4 linked regions of the Sus scrofa genome follow. The protein of the gene in region 1 purifies or fractionates together with the protein of each later gene. This does not show direct contact. Links are inferred from orthologs where the notes say so. Each region holds a gene or a part of one and is shown in the gene's direction. Other genes may lie near its edges.

What was found.
Region 2: the proteins of HSPB1 (region 1) and TGFB1I1 purify together in Homo sapiens (affinity purification with western blotting; 3 studies listed by BioGRID). This does not show direct contact. The link is inferred for Sus scrofa from reciprocal best matches to the Homo sapiens genes HSPB1 and TGFB1I1.
Region 3: the proteins of HSPB1 (region 1) and DAXX purify together in Homo sapiens (affinity purification with western blotting; 3 studies listed by BioGRID and IntAct, with this or other methods). This does not show direct contact. The link is inferred for Sus scrofa from reciprocal best matches to the Homo sapiens genes HSPB1 and DAXX.
Region 4: the proteins of HSPB1 (region 1) and G6PD fractionate together in Homo sapiens (co-fractionation; 3 studies listed by BioGRID and IntAct, with this or other methods). This does not show direct contact. The link is inferred for Sus scrofa from reciprocal best matches to the Homo sapiens genes HSPB1 and G6PD.

The regions. Positions count from the first base shown.
Region 1 is NC_010445.4:10,037,569-10,040,592, reverse strand, and holds HSPB1 (heat shock protein beta-1), read left to right. Parts: upstream 1-1,151; coding exon 1,152-1,521; intron 1,522-2,178; coding exon 2,179-2,242; intron 2,243-2,329; coding exon 2,330-2,519; downstream 2,520-3,024. UniProt on the Homo sapiens protein: Small heat shock protein which functions as a molecular chaperone probably maintaining denatured proteins in a folding-competent state. Plays a role in stress resistance and actin organization.
Region 2 is NC_010445.4:17,096,400-17,100,703, reverse strand, and holds the start of TGFB1I1 (transforming growth factor beta-1-induced transcript 1 protein), read left to right. Parts: upstream 1-1,499; 5' UTR 1,500-1,726; coding exon 1,727-1,739; intron 1,740-1,963; exon of another isoform or gene 1,964-2,345; intron 2,346-2,366; exon of another isoform or gene 2,367-2,580; intron 2,581-2,651; exon of another isoform or gene 2,652-2,791; intron 2,792-2,983; exon of another isoform or gene 2,984-3,044; coding exon 3,045-3,145; intron 3,146-3,269; coding exon 3,270-3,322; intron 3,323-3,424; coding exon 3,425-3,567; intron 3,568-3,729; coding exon 3,730-3,817; intron 3,818-3,932; coding exon 3,933-4,038; intron 4,039-4,169; coding exon 4,170-4,304. UniProt on the Homo sapiens protein: Functions as a molecular adapter coordinating multiple protein-protein interactions at the focal adhesion complex and in the nucleus. Links various intracellular signaling modules to plasma membrane receptors and regulates the Wnt and TGFB signaling pathways.
Region 3 is NC_010449.5:29,678,341-29,682,428, reverse strand, and holds the start of DAXX (death domain-associated protein 6), read left to right. Parts: upstream 1-1,283; 5' UTR 1,284-1,416; intron 1,417-1,487; exon of another isoform or gene 1,488-1,512; intron 1,513-1,948; exon of another isoform or gene 1,949-2,285; 5' UTR 2,286-2,337; coding exon 2,338-2,571; intron 2,572-2,711; coding exon 2,712-3,543; intron 3,544-3,663; coding exon 3,664-3,878; intron 3,879-4,037; coding exon 4,038-4,088. UniProt on the Homo sapiens protein: Transcription corepressor known to repress transcriptional potential of several sumoylated transcription factors. Down-regulates basal and activated transcription.
Region 4 is NC_010461.5:125,038,236-125,042,248, reverse strand, and holds the start of G6PD (glucose-6-phosphate 1-dehydrogenase), read left to right. Parts: upstream 1-1,208; 5' UTR 1,209-1,228; coding exon of another isoform or gene 1,229-1,309; 5' UTR 1,310-1,561; coding exon 1,562-1,673; intron 1,674-1,800; exon of another isoform or gene 1,801-1,946; intron 1,947-2,498; coding exon 2,499-2,626; intron 2,627-4,013. Other genes in the region: IKBKG (NF-kappa-B essential modulator), read right to left, coding at 1,229-1,309. UniProt on the Homo sapiens protein: Catalyzes the rate-limiting step of the oxidative pentose-phosphate pathway, which represents a route for the dissimilation of carbohydrates besides glycolysis.

The DNA.
Region 1 (3,024 bases):
ACCCTACGGGAGGTGGGAGTGGAGGCCTGGATCCCACAGGTGCTCACCCAGGAGGTGGGGTCAAGGAGCAGGCCTCAGGCTCCCAGCAAGTGTGCAGGAATTGCACTGCCTAGAGCCCCTCTCCCTCTGTGCTGTGGGAATGCTAAACAAAAGGGCTCTGAGGTCATAATCTGTAAAAAGGGAAAGGAGGGGCCTTGGCCCAAGCCAAAGCCCAGACTAGATTCAAGGCCGCTGCATCTCAGGTTCCCTGTCCCCAGCTCAAGGCAAAGTGGATACAATGGGGAGTTTTGACAATAACCTCCCTCCTGACCCCCTTTCAACACTAGGCCTCAGGGTTTCTGGTCTGGGTCTCCCCTACTAGGGGGTCCGGGGGACATCGCCCAAACGTCCACATGCTGCTGCCTCTGAGCTCCGCTTCCTCCGTCTGTGCCCTGCAACTCCAGGTGGCTGACAGTAACGGTCACCCACCAGGCCCTGGACTAAAACCTTCACTCGCATTAAGCTGCCGAATCCTCACACCAACTCAGGGACGGAAGCATTGTCATCATCATCACCCCCATTTTCCCGGTGGCGAAACTGAGGCACAAAGACTCTCACTTGTACAAGTTCATCCAGTGAGTGGCAGGACCAGGATGTGAACTCACACAGTCTGGACTCTCAGGCCCACACTCCTCACCATGTTGCTTCTTAAGCCATTATTTCACAGACACCCTGTGGTCCATCTCCCTGCTCTGCCAGTCCCTGCTGTGTGGCCCCGAGCAGCGCGACCACTCCCTCGGCTTTGTCCTCTTGCACAAAAAGCCAGGACTGTCCACAGGCTGCGGCCCAGCGCTTTAGCGCCGAAATCTGCCAGTGTTAGGCAGCGGGCACTGCACCAGCATCGGGGCTACAGTCATTTGTTTTCTCAAACAGGAGAAGGTTCCAGATGTGGGCAGGGCCTCCCTCGCCCCGCCCCGCGCCCCGGTATGCAGTTGGGGGAATGCAGGGGGAGGGGCTGCCCCCAGCCAGTCATTGCCATTAATAGAGACCTGAAACACCGCCTGCTAAAAATACCCGGCTGGCCCATTATAAAAGCGCTGCGGGCTCGGCCCACCGACACTAACTCCCCTTCTCCCAGCCGCAGCCGGACGCGTCCAGCCAGCGCAGCCAGCATGACTGAGCGCCGTGTGCCTTTCTCGCTCCTGCGGAGCCCCAGCTGGGACCCTTTCCGCGACTGGTACCCGGCCCACAGCCGCCTCTTCGACCAGGCCTTCGGGCTGCCCCGGCTGCCCGAGGAGTGGTCGCAGTGGCTGAGCCACAGCGGCTGGCCGGGCTACGTGCGCCCGCTGCCCCCGCCCGCCATCGAGGGCCCCGCCGCAGTGGCCGCGCCCGCCTACAGCCGCCTGCTCAGCAGGCAGCTCAGCAGCGGCGTCTCGGAGATCCAGCAGACTGCCGACCGCTGGCGCGTCTCCCTGGACGTCAACCACTTCGCCCCCGAGGAGCTGACGGTCAAGACCAAGGACGGCGTGGTGGAGATCACGGGTGAGCCCCCGGGGACCGGGACGCGCCCACCCCCCGCCCCTCCCGCGCTGCCTCTCGCGCTCTTTCCGGGGAGGAGCCCTGGAAAATGGAAACTTAGCCGAGGACGGGGCCAGAGCCCGGGGAGCCGGCCTGGCCTCTTCGCCCTGCCCCTGGCCTGTGCCTGCTTCCCTGGACTTTGGGGGGGGTGCTCCTAAGTCCTAAGGGATCTTTTGGCCCTAAAAGCTCTCCAGTCAGGGAAGAAACGCCCCCTTCCAGCGGAGACGCCCTCAGCCCCAACGCCATCCGCGAGGGACCAGGTCTCCCCGCGCCGCGCCGCCCCCCCCCGGCCCCCGGCCCCCGGCCTGCAGTTGGTGTGGCAAGGGCGACCCCCTCCCCCGACACGCGCACGCACACGCACGCACTTCCTCCCCATCCCTAGTCCAGGTCCTCGGAGGGGGCGTGTGTGCGTGCCCATGGCTGCTGCCCCACGCCCCAGCCCCAGACTCCTGGAACCGAACTTTCCAGAAGCTTCTGAGGTCCCGGGACAGGTCTGGGGTACCCACATCCCTTAGTCCTCTCCTGGCAAGCGTTCTGGCCACCGGGTGGGGCTCGGCTGGCTGTGGGCCAGCGGGAGCGCCGGCCCCTTCAGGCCTCCTCTGACCTCCCTCCCCCACCCAGGCAAGCACGAGGAGCGGCAGGATGAGCACGGCTTCATTTCCCGGTGTTTCACTCGAAAATACACGTGAGTCCTGGCTCCGGGTGGGGTGGGGGGTGGGGAGGGCCCAGGGACGCACCGTGGGTCACTCCTGTCCTGCCTCTCCCTGTCCAGGCTGCCCCCCGGTGTGGACCCCACCCAGGTCTCCTCCTCCCTGTCCCCTGAGGGCACGCTCAGCGTGGAGGCCCCGCTGCCCAAGCCAGCCACCCAGTCGGCAGAGATCACCATCCCTGTCACTTTCGAGGCGCGGGCCCAGCTTGGGGGCACAGAAGCTGGAAAGTCGGAAAAGCCCGGAACCAAGTAAAGGCCTTCGCCCTGCTGCTCACCGCCCCCCGCCCAAACCCGCACCAGCCATCCCCACCTGCCAACTCTCTGTGCTCTTTTGATACGTCTACCTTCTGTTTTTCTCGAATAAAGTTCAAAGCAACTGCCCGCCACTGTCTCAGACCCTGGTGTGCTTGTGGAGGCTCAGGCGTCACTCCTGGTTCACGCACTCATCACGTTTGCCGAGGGCCTCCTGTGTGCCAAGCCCTGTGCTGGCCCCTGTGCGTGCTGCGTCCATCACAGGGCACAGCCCTGCCCTCCAGTCCCTTGTTGAGGGAGAGACTGTTTATGCGGCAGTTAAAGCCCCCGGGGCCAGTGTGGGAGCAGGGACGCCAGGAGAGGCACCCGGCCGAGGCACTCAGGACACCTGGGCAGGGGGCGAGGGAGGGGGACGTCCCGGCAGCTCAGGGTTCCTTCCTGACCGCATCATAACCTCCTCATCTCCACGGAGAAGAGCAGGACCGCAAAGACGGGATGGGAGGGGT
Region 2 (4,304 bases), about 7.1 Mb from region 1:
AGATAGAGAACAACAGCCCAGGGCCCGGGCACTTGGCTTAGCCCAGCTTTCTGGAGTTGAAATTAAAAACTTGGAGGTGACTACCCCCATCATGTGGTGTCTCTGCTCACTTTCCTAGGGGAGTCCCCCGACCCCTTCACCCCTCGAGCAGCGTCTTCTCCAGGTCTCTGTGTCTCCATACAGATCACTCTCAGAGGAACTTAAAAAATACTTGTGCACTGGTTCCTGGAGCCCTGGGATGCGGTCAAGTTTCCAGGCTTCTCCTTGAGGATATGGTTTGGGGCCCCAGGGGAAGCCTGCTTTCAGCTCATGCTACTTCATTGCTCAGGCAGCCATCCAGCTAGACACTCGATCAAAGCTACGAGGGTTGTACCAAGGGGATGGGGAGGGTACATCTCGGACCCAGGCCTTACTGTTTCCTCGTGCCATTCCCCCATCTTGGGCCTACGGTCTCTGGGTCCATTTGTCCTGCTGTTTGGGTGAGGGAAGACCTACTGTGTTCTTCAAGTCCCTAAGGCCCTTAGTCATGCCCAGAGGGAGCCCGAGCCCTAGGCTGACATCCAGGTGAAGGAAGGGCTCGTGTCGTTTTAGTTGCCCAGGCGGGGTCTTCGTAACCTGGCTGCCAGCTCACTGGCCACTTAGGCGGCAGCCTGATTTCAAAGAAAGTGCCCAGACTGGGCCTGCTCGCCAGTTTCTAGGGAGCCAAGGTTGCCTCTTGCCACCCCTGTGCCTCTGGGAGTGTCCAGATCTCTGTTCTTCAGCTGAGCTTTAGAACCACACAGAGAGCTTTTTATATGTACAGATGCCAGGCCCTTTCAGACTGAATTGAACTGAGGTCAGGGCAACTTGGGCATAGGTTGAAAAAGCTCCCAGGCTTTTCTGATTTGCTGCTGGAGGCTGTGTTCAGCTTTCCTGTCTATGTGCATCAGTATCTTGGGAAAGGGCTCTTTGGGGACAGGTCTGGGTCATCTCGGTGTTGGGGAAGGCTGCTTGGGGTCTGGTCGGGGTCTGGTTGCCAGGAAGTGTTTGCCCTCAGTCTGCACAGGGCTTGGGCCTAGGTTTCTTTGTTCCTGTGTCTATATGTCTGTTTCCAACTCTATGGCTTGGGGTCTGTGGGTTTGTTGTATCATCTGTCTCTGTCTCTGGAAAATTTCCTTGTGTCTCACGTGTCTGACTTTTGGGATCTGTTTATGTCATTGTCACAGTCTCTAAGGGAAGGCCTCTGAACCTGGGGTCTGACTGATCCTTCTCTGCCTCCAAGAAAATCTGTCTGAAGCAGACCTCCAGGAGCAGCCTGGGTGGGAGGGGAGCTCTGTCTAGACCCTGGGTGCTAGTTTTGAGTGCTGTCAGTTTGGGGGCCTCAGTCTGTGTGTAAAAGTATTGCTGGGCAGATGATCCTGGGCTTGGTCTGGAAAAGAGCCACTTTTCTTACTCGGGCTCTGGCCGCCTGGGGCTCCCTGCAGCTGAGGCCAAGGCTGGGGTGTGGCCGCCTCCGAGGCGGGCAGGCTGGGCCCGGGTGGGCAGGGCCCTCCTTCCCTCCCAGGCCCCCACCCCGGGTTCTCCCGTTCATTGCCCCCCCTCCCCCCGCAGCCCTATCCCAGCGGGTCCCGGCTTCCTTACATGGTCACGGCTGGGCCTCCAGCTCCCGGACGTCCCCCCACCCCCGCCCCCACCGGACACGGCCCCCGCCCTGCTCGCCCCGCGCGCGGTCGGCCCGCGCCCCGTCATGGAGGACCTGGGTGAGTGGGGCCCGGGTCCCCTTGTCCCCAGTCCCTCACCACTGCCTAGATCCGCTTTCCTATCCTGGAGCCCCCTGCACTCCCGGCATCTCCCCATCCCTGCCTCCTGTCTTCTCGCTTCTGGTGTCTGCCGGCGCCTCCTTTCCGACTCCACGTCCCCCTTCCTGCCTCTCCCTTCCTGCCTTTCCCAGACTGGCCGCTCCCTCCCTTCTTCCCCCCGCTCGGCTCCTCCATCACTGGCTGCAGACAGATGGGCAGGGAGGTGCAGCGCCTGTGGGCTCCTAAGCTCAGGAGCTCTGGGAAGGGAGGGGTTAAAGGGACCTCGGGTCCAGGGACTTGGAAAGTAGAGAAGGGAGAATCTGACATCACGTTCTGGAGAAGAAAATGGGCTTGCCCTAGGATTTGGGGAAGGAAAGAGTTAAGGGCCCTTAAGTAGTAAGGAAGGGGTCAGATCCTTGGGGCAGAAAGTATAATAGATGGGTGCCAAGATGCCAGGGAGAGGTTAAGGGTTTCACCAAGGTATTCAGAGGTGAAGAGTAAAGGGCCAGAGACTTCTAGATTCTAGAAGGCAAAAGGTTCGAAGGATCTGTATCTGTGGATGAGGAGGTGTGTGTGTGTTGTGTGTGTGTGTGTGTGTGTGTGTGTGTGTTTCTGTCTCTTTGGGGAAAGGAAAGATGACCCAGGCATCTGCATCCTCCCTGTCTGTTGCAAGTAGGGCTAGAAGAAGAGAAGGGGTTCCAGCACCATGCAGTAGGGGGTGCTGTTCAGCAAGGGTAACAGGCGCTGGCTCTGTGAAGAATAGGCCAATCAGAAAGAAGATCCGAGCAGACTCACCAATGAGGTGTATAGTGTGGGGCCCAGCGGGTCTGGAGGTGGGCCAGAGTTGGGAGGGGCCTCTTTAGGTGTAGGGGGTTGGGCAGAAAGGACATCCAATCAGGAAGCTGGTGCCAGGCATACAGCCAATTGAGCAATTTGGGGTGGAGCCAAATTTGACTCCAATAAAGAGCCAATTTTGACTGCATTAGAGAAGATTTGGAGAATAAGCGAATCAGGTGGCCGAGTTTGTAAATGACTCCTAGGATGAGCGATATGGGCTCTTCTGATCATACTTATTCCTTGCTGTCCTACATCTCTGCCTTGGTCTGGCCTTTGTTTCCTTCTGACTCTTGACGTCTCTTCTTAAAACTGGCTTCTGTCCTCCTCAACTACTTCCCACTTAGAACACTTATTTCTGATCTCTTAAGGCCCTGTCTCTGCCCTAACCTTGACCTCTCAACCTCTCACCCTGACGGCCTCTTCCTGCAGATGCCCTGCTCTCTGACCTGGAGACCACAACCTCACACATGCCAAGGTCAGGGGCTCTAAAAGAGCGACCCCCGGAGCCCCTCACGTCTCCTCTGCCACAGGTGAGATCAGATGCTGGGGTACTGGGGCAACCACCAGGGCTGGGTTTGGCGGGGGCAAAGGGAATCTGGGCCTGAGTGGAGCCAAATTCAGGCCTATCATCCCATGCCTATGTCTTCTCTGCAGATGGGCTCTGGGGAGTCTTCAGGAGCCTCTGGGGACAAGGACCATCTGTACAGGTGAGGAGGCTGGGAACTGGGGAATGGGGAGCCAATGGAGACTCCAGGTGAGGAGGCTTGGATTCCCCACCCCTGAACCCAGGCTACCACCCTGTTTCCCAGTACGGTATGCAAGCCCCGGTCCCCGAAGCCTGCGGCTCCTGCGGCCCCTCCGTTCTCCTCTTCCTGTGGTGTCTTGGGCACGGGTCTCTGTGAGCTAGACCGATTGCTTCAGGAACTTAATGCTACTCAGTTCAACATCACAGGTACCAGGGTTACTGAGACTGGATTTGATGGGATGGGGGCAGGGCAGAGCAGAGACTAAGGGGTATAGACTTCCCAGAGTAGCAGCTAAAGGGACACAAGCCTTAAATGGGAGGGAGGCTAGGGCATAGCCCATGCCCAGTGCCCTTCTCTCCTCTCTGCAGATGAAATAATGTCCCAGTTCCCATCTAGCAAGGAATCTGCAGGGGAGAAGAAGGAGGACCCCTCTGAGGACAAGAAAAGGCCCAGCCCGTGAGTTTGGCCTAGTTGACAGGGCTGGGAGAGTGGTGATGCATCCTGGATGCCCGCGTTACTAGAGGAAGCGTGACTCTGAGGCTCTGGGTTGACACAGTTTTGTTCTTCACAGCCCTCCCAGCCCAACCCCTGTTCTCCCAAAGCCTTCGGCCACCTCGGCCACCCTGGAGCTAGACAGACTGATGGCCTCACTCTCTGACTTCCGTGTCCAGAACCACGTGAGTCAGGTGGGGGGGGGGGCGAGGGGAGGAGGTGGTAGGCCAGTGTGGGTGTGTGGCTCCCAACCCATTTTAGACGTGCCCACATCTGCTGCCTTGCTAACTCAGCTCTCCTGTCCTCCCTGCTGCAGCTTCCAGCCTCTGGGCCAACCCAGCCAGCAGTGCCAAGCTCCGTGAATGAGGGCTCCCCATCCCCACCAGGGCCCACTAGCCAGGGCAGCCTAGACACCATGCTGGGGTTGCTTCAGTCTGACCTCAGCCGCCGC
Region 3 (4,088 bases), on another chromosome or scaffold:
ACCTCATGGGGACTAGTGGGGTCTGTTAACCACTGAGCCACTACGGAAACTCTTCTGCTATATTTTAATAAAATTTATCTTTAAATGTGCAACAAGAAAATAAAGTGGCAAGATGCCCAACATTTGTGGAGTATGCAGGGATCCAAGAGGTGGGAAACTCAGCGACTGGACCGGTGTTAACTTTTTGGTTTCCCCAGAAGTTCACCTTTGGACCCAGCTTTGCTTCCGTGAGTCCCTCCAGCTTCCCTAAAGCTGGGCTAGGTGGGGGTCCAGGCGAGGCGGGCGTCAAAGTTGGTTTCTTCTCTTTTTGTTCTTTCATCAGCACTTCCAGAAGAAAAGACGAGACTCCGAGGCCTTTTACGAGCCTCATTTCGTCTCACAGTCCATACAGCGGCAATCTGCAGATTCTCCTCAGAGCCTCCTCCTCCTCACAACGCCCGTCCTCAGGCCCTGGAGCTTCTGGACAAAGCCCGGCCTCCCGGCCATCATCGCCTCCGCCTCGGGGACCTCCTCCAGAAAAGACGTCGTAGAACCACCTAGATTCTACCTACTTGGTTGGCCAATAGTTCTGTAGTGGAAAGCAAACCAGCAACAATAACAATAATAATAAAACACATTTGTACAGCTCGTGGTGCTCATTTGTATCCCGTGTTAGGACTTCGCAATTGGGCGAAGTAGGCACCTGTCGGTAGAAGTAGCAGCTGGACAGCGAAAAGGAGAGCGGGCCCATAGAAGGGAATGGCAGGTACAGTCGATTAAGCCAGGGAAACTGGTACCTGGCAGGTAGGAAATCGGCGCCAGAGGGCTTGTCAATAGCGCCGCGGATGGAAAAGGTTTTATTTTCCTCTCAAGAGGCTCCCCCCATTCCGTGCATCCCTGTGCAGCCTCGGAGGGCTCAATTCCTTTGCTGCTCTGTTCCGTACCCCCCCCCCCCCCCTTGGGAAGGTGGCTCTGTCCTCCCCGCACGCGACGCGCTGGCGGTTGGCCGGCTGCGGGAAGCTTCTGATTGGCCGAGTCGCAGAAGCACCGGGTGAAAAGAGCTTCACTGGCGGCGCGCCCCCACTCGGGGCGTAGCCAACGCCGTACGGGAAAATGGCGGCCCGCATGTACCTTGAGAGGCCCCGAATGGGGGATGGAGGGGCGCAAATCCGCCCCCTGCAGGTCAGGGAGAAAGGCGCCTCAGACTATGTGGGCGGCACTGGAGGTGCTCGAGGAGGCGGGCCTACTGTCACTTCCGGCCACTGGGGAGACTGGGATCCGTACGGCAACATGGCCGCACCCAGGAGCCTGTAGGCGGAAACTCCGCCGCTTCCGGTCCGGAGTAGGGCCTGCGGTGGGAGGGGGAAGGAAGGCGGAGGGAACCATGCGAGGTTCTGAGATCCGCGGCGAGTGTCGCCTCGAGAGACCGTTTCTGAGGTGGGGCCGGGCGGTGCGGGGGGCGAAGGCGGGGCGGGAATGTCGAGGTCGAGGTACTCGGGAGTCCTGGGCGTTGAGTCTGAGGGGCAGGCTGAGGTACCTTCCTTACTATCCCTGAAGGGGTGTGGGGGGGCCGGGGGCTGAACTGGGGGAGGGGGACTTGGCGGGAAGCTCCTCCGGGGGCAGGGCCGGCCTCAGGACTAGAGTGTGAGAGCAAGCAGGAGAGACCAGTGTGGGGCCCACGGTCGCTTACAGGTCACACGGAGAGAATGGGGAGGCTCGGGTTGGTGTGAGAGAGAGGGGACTGGAGCCGAGCTATCTCCGACTGCCGCCCCGGCTGGAGGAGACCCACCGGAGGGCGGGGTAGGGAGGTGGTCTTGGCAGGAGAAAGGGGAGTGGATGTGGGGAGGACCAACCCTCGCCTCGGAGAGGCTGGGAGTTGGGGTGATCCTACAGGACGGGGCGAACCTGTGGGAGAGCGGAAGGGGGACACGGGGAGGTGGTGCCAACGAGGGTGTGGTATCTGTTCCAGGGGGTGTCGAGGAAATCTGGAGTGCAGTGTGAGAGGTGGTCCGGGGTTGAGAAGAATCAACTTGCCACCTATGAGAAATAGTGGGGAAATGCAACCGAAAGACCGGATGTCGACGTGAGGGGTGGAGCTGGGGGTGGGACTTCAGGTTTTCCGAGGGTTTGGGGCTCTCGTAGTAAAGGGACAGAAAAACACGGTACTAATGGTTGCTGAAGACAGGCAGTGAGGACACTGTTGGGCATGGCTGGGTGTTTTTGAAAACCAAGAAGACAAAAATGTGTGAGATGAAGGGATGGGGCTCTGCTGGAGGGGCTCTTTCTGAGGCCCCGTCCCCTTCCAGCAGGAATCACGAAAACCCCACCACTTCCTCCCTCCGGGGGATTTGATCCCCCATGGCCACCGCTAACAGCATCATCGTGCTGGATGATGATGACGAAGATGAAGCAGCTGCTCAGCCAGGGCCCTCCCACCCACCCCCCAACCCAGCCTCACCCAGGGCAGCCCCCATTCCAGCCTCACCCAGGGCAGAAGCCCCTGGCTCCTCCCAGCCCCATGGGGCTGGAGGAGGCAGTAGTTCGGGCGGCAAGAAATGCTACAAGTTGGAGAATGAGAAGCTGTTTAAAGAGGTGAGCTTTAGGGGAGAGGATTCTTGTACTCCAGGGAGGGGGCTGGCCGACTGGCTCTCTTGTCTTGTCTTCCCCACTAACCCCACCTCGCCTTCTTTCTCTCAACCCATCCCTTGTCCCTTTCCCCGTGAACCTTCCAGTTCCTTGAACTGTGTAGGAGGCAGACAGCAGACCACCCTGAGGTGGTCCCGTTCCTCTCTAGCCGGCAGCAGCGGGCCCACTCACTGTTTTTGGCCTCGGCGGAGTTCCACAACATCCTCTCTCGGGTCCTTTCCCGGGCTCAGAGCCGGCCCGCCAAGCTCTATGTCTACATTAACGAGCTCTGCACTGTTCTCAAGGCCAACTCGGCCAAGAAGAAGATGAACCTGGCCCCTGCTGCCACCACCTCTAGTGAGCCCTCCGGGAATGACCCCCCCACAGGCCCCTCCTCGGACCCCATAAATGCTGAGACCACTGCCTCTGAGGCCCCAAGGACCCGTGGTTCCCGGCGGCAGATCCAGCGCTTGGAGCAGCTTCTTGCGCTCTATGTGGCAGAGATCCGGCGGCTGCAGGAAAAGGAGCTGGATCTCTCAGAACTGGACGACCCGGACTCCACTTACCTGCAGGAGGCCAGACTGAAGCGTAAGCTGATCCGCCTCTTTGGGCGGCTGTGTGAGCTCAAAGAATGCTCTTCTCTGACGGGCCGGGTCATAGAGCAGCGCATCCCCTACCGGGGCACCCGCTACCCGGAGGTGAACAGGCGCATCGAGCGGCTCATCAACAAGCCAGGGCCTGATACCTTCCCTGACTATGGAGACGTACTTCGGGCTGTCGAGAAGGCAGCTGCTCGGCACAGCCTTGGCCTCCCCCGACAGCAGCTCCAGCTCATGGCTCAGGATGCCTTCCGAGATGTGGGCATCAGGTTGCAGGAACGTCGCCACCTCGATCTCATCTACAACTTCGGCTGTCACCTCACAGACGACTACAGGCCAGGTAGGCCTTAGCAGGGTCTCCCCAGTCCCTTGGTGTGTTGGCCTATGCTGGAGGAAGCTCTCTGGAGTCCCTCCTTCTAGGATTCTGGGTGAGTGCTCTGACCTATGTCTTCCCATGCAGGTGTCGATCCTGCCCTGTCAGATCCTGTCCTAGCCCGGCGCCTGCGGGAGAACCGGAGCTTGGCTATGAGCCGACTGGATGAGGTCATCTCCAAATATGCAATGATGCAAGACAAGAGTGAGGAGGGCGAGAGACAGAAGAGAAGGGCTCGGCTCCCCCAGGCCACCTCTGCCCACTCTGCAGAACCCCCCAAAGCCTCCTTGGATTCTGGCGAGGTATGGAAGGGCCACACCCTTGAGAGAGACCCTGTCCTTCCCCTGCACTGGCCAGGAGGGAGTCCTTGGGACTGATGGCGGAGTGTGCAGAAGGGATGCAAGAACCAGTCCCTCAAGGGGGCAAGGGATTCCTTAGAGAAACTCCTTTGTCCCCCGAAGGGCCCTAGTGGGATGGCCTCCCAGGAGTGCTCGACCACTTCCAAGGCTGAG
Region 4 (4,013 bases), on another chromosome or scaffold:
TGTGAATATACTGAAAAGCAGTGAATTGTTCACTTTCAATGGGTGAATTGTGTGGTATGTGAATTATATGTCAATAAAGCTATTTTTGAAAATAAGAGATTATGAGGGGTATAAATTAAGCAAAGGTAGCAACAGGTTGATAACTGTTGACGCTGGGAGGTGGGTACCTTGGGTTTATACTATCCTTTCTACTTTTGCACATCTTTGGTATTTTTCACAATAAAACGATCCGAGCCCCATCATCTCTCACCTGGATAACTGCAATAACCTCCTAGCAGATCACCTTGCTCCAACCCTTGCCCCCTACGTACAGTCTGTTCTACCCACCGCGCCAGAACAATCAGACCAAAAGGTAATTCCTACCACGTCTCTCCTCTATCCAGATCCCTACCATAGTTCCTCATGGCCCTCCGCCAAAAAGCCACAACCCGTACAACAAGATAGTAGGCCGTGCACTATCTGGTCCCCCATTGCTTCCTCTCTAACTATTCCCCCCTCGCTCACTCTATTCCAGGTATAGTGGCCTCCTTATGGCCCATTCATCCTCAAGTCACAGAACTGATATGAGGTCCGGCAGACATTAACCGTTGTGCAAAGTGAGCAAAATGAAGCGCATGAGGAAAGATGCTTAGCTGTCAAATTACCCTTGAGGCTTTTTTAAAGAACTTAACAACTTCAAATGTAGTCAAGTTCGATGAACAGAAAATGTCTCCGAAGTAGAATAGTCATCCACGAACTAGGGGTGTGGTCAGACTCCGCCGCGGCAGAGGAAGGAGAGGCGAAAACTGCCCCGCTCGTCGCCAGAGTAACCTGGGTCCTGAATTGGCCAGCCTCGGCGGGTGATCTAGAAGCGGGCGGCAGAACCGGGCCGGGGCCCAATAGGAGGGGAAAGCCTGGTCGTCCAGGGGGGGTCTCGGAGGTGGCGGAACGCCCACCAATAGTACCCTATCTTCGGAGAAGAGGACCACACCTGTCAGCAGAGTCGGTCCGACGTGAGAAGGGCGGGAGCGGCGGGTCCCGAGCGCTCCTCGGACCCCGGCGCTCGGAGAAAGTTCGGGTTCCGCGGTCGCCCTTCCCTTCTCGGGCTGCCAAATTCCCATTTCCTGCTTCCGGTGTCGTAGCTGTGGGATCCGGAAGTAAAACACTCACACTCCGCCCCCACCCCGCCCCCAGCAGGCCCGCGAGAGGCGCGAGGGAGACTTGTCCCCAGACGGAAGCCCGAGCGTACCAGGCTCGGCTGGCCCGTAGGACACTCTTCAATAATATGCGTCGCGACCCGCATTTCCCCTTGTCTCTCCGGCGGCGGCATCCAGCGAGCGGCAGGTCGGCTGCCCCGCCCCCACTAGGGGAGGAGCCACGACGAGGCTATCATGTGATAGGGCCAGTTTGATCGGAGTCGACGACCCGTCCAGTGAGGGGGCGAGGCTAAAGAGGGCCCCGCCTACAAGTGGGGTCGAGGGGCGTGACCACGCTGCCGGCGGAAGTGGAGCCCTTCTTGAGGGCGCAGGACAACCCCGGGCTGACGAGAAAGCCAGACTGTAGGGGCGGGGCCAGGCCAGGGATGGGAACGCGGGCGAGCTGTGGGGAGCTGCACACGGACTCGCGAAGCATCGGGGACACGGCGCAGCGGCGGCGAGGACAGCAGGGGGCCCGCAGCCCGGCGGCCGGCGCAGGTGCTCAAGGGGCGGAGCGGGTCAGGCCGGCAGGCCTCGCGCGGGAGCGGGGGGGGGGGGGTCCCACCGGCCCGAGATGCGCGCGCACCTGCCTCGCCCCGCCTCTCGGGGGAGGGGCACACGGAGGCCCCGCCCGCGCGCCTCGCCTGAGGCTGGTCAGCTCAGACCAGGTGCCCGCCCCCGCCAGTTAAATGGGCAGGCGGGGCGCAGCCCCAGGAAACTGCCGGGAACTCCGGGGCTGCGAGCGCGAAGGGCAGCAGCGGTGAAGCACAGGTAACTGAGTGGGCGAACGCTTTGATTTGCCACGCTTGGGAAGGGGGCAAAATCGAGAGGGTGTTAACTGATCTAACCGTCCCCTGCATACCCCCATTGGGCCCCTGAGGGGACCCCGAGAGGGGCGGGGATTGGCCGGGGTCTCCCAGCGGTGGTGGAGGAGGACTAGATCTACACTGTCAGCTGCTTGATCTAACTTGCTCCAGCTCATTGAGGAGCTTCCGCCTGAATCCTTGGTGAGATGGCCTTAGCAGGTGGTCCGATGTTCCAGCTTGGTGTTACTCCCCCAGAGCTGAGGCCCTCGTTGGAGTCCACTAATGCTTAGAGTAATGTTGTAATGTACACGCTGAAAGAAGGCTGTCTGGAGAGTATGACCAGAGCCAGCAGTTTCTCATCCCCCAACCATCCTGCTCGCAGCCATTCCCACCAAGTGGTTTCAGTAATCAGGCATCAGCTGGACGAGAGCCCAAAGGACTCCTCCAGAAAGGGGCCAGCCAGCTTCTCAGTGCTTTCCGGTTCTCCTGCCTCATCAATAAGTTTTTTTTCCTCCAGAGAGTACCATGGCAGAGCAGGTGGCTCTGAGCCGGACCCAAGTGTGCGGGATCCTGCGGGAAGAGCTGTACCAGGGCGATGCTTTCCATCAGTCGGATACACATATCTTTATCATCATGGGAGCATCGGTGAGTCTCCCCCAGGCCCCACATCTTAAATGCAGCAGACTTAGAGCAGGACATGGCTTAGGTCCCTTCCCTCTCCGTGCCTGGGCTCGCCCACCTGCTTGTTATAGGGCCTCTCCAGCTCTGCTTGGCTGGGCTCTCCCTCCTGCTCTTGCGCCACTATCACCCCAGCACCCCCTGGTGTAGGCGTATTGCAAGGCCTTGCTGAAGTCTGTGTGCAGCCATTGGCTGCAGCCTCATGCCCTGGAGCCCGGAGGTCCGCAGGGGCTGTGTGCTTGGACTTCCTCCTCCGTGGGGAAAAGTGAGAGGCAAACAGGGGAAGCTGTTCATTCTGGGAGTGTGTTTTCCAAACTCGCGTCTGACTTGGTAAACGGCGTGAAGTCAGTTTAGTTCCAGAGGTAGGATCTGAGGTCTGATCTCCACCTTGTGTCTGCCACGTCAGGTTCCGTGAGGACAAACACTCAACTTTGCTTTGAGCAGCATCTCTTTGCCCCAGCTTCTAGGGCCTGCTCAGGAGCTACGACCAGCCCCATTGTCTAGCCAGTGGACCTGCCATTTTGCTCTGATCAGAAAGGCCAAAGAGTAGACACAGAAGGGGGTGGCTCCTCAGAGAGCCATGACCCGCAGCCTAAACTCCCTCTGCATGCCGTGCCGTGCGACCCAAGCTCTCCCATGGGGCAAGACGCAGGCGGCCTGCTGGGGTTTCCTGTGCAAGTGATCTGTGTCCTCTTTTCCCTCTTAACCTTGGATGTGACCAAGAATCTGCTACCCGTGGCATCCACTGCTTTGCGGGTAACTTACTGTATAGACCTTGAGCGAGAGTCCTACCGGAACTCCTTAGCTCTTGACAGGGCAGGCCACTGTCCCTCTGTGCCTTCCACGCTGCTGTCCTCTCAGCTCTGGGGAACTCACCGCCTGCTCCCTGCCGACTTTGTGATTCTGGGCAGGACTTGGAAAAGGAGAGCCAGAAGGCGAAGGCTACCTTAAGCACTATCCCTTGAACCTTTGTCACCCGGCGACTGGGGGGTGCGCAGGAGGAACACACAGGGGGACAGGCTTATCCTGCACCCTGGCCCCAGCCCGGTCCGCTTAGAGGAGCCTCAAACCTTAACACTTGGAACTCTGACCATTCGGCCCTTCATCCAAGAACCCGGATGGTTTTTCCTCCTTCCTCCATCCCCACCCCAGCCTGTCGCAGGCCTCCGGAAGTGGCCCGTGGCCCCAGGCGCTGCGCCTCGCCGAGAGCAGCCAGGTGTGACCTGGGCCAAGTGTCTTTTCCCTCGTTGTCTCCACTTATCGACTGAGGGCTTTTGAAACAAGTGCCCAGGGCCCTGCGGAGCCGACCCTCTGACCCCTGGTGGCCTTCTCTTGTGGCCTGGCTCTGGGTTAG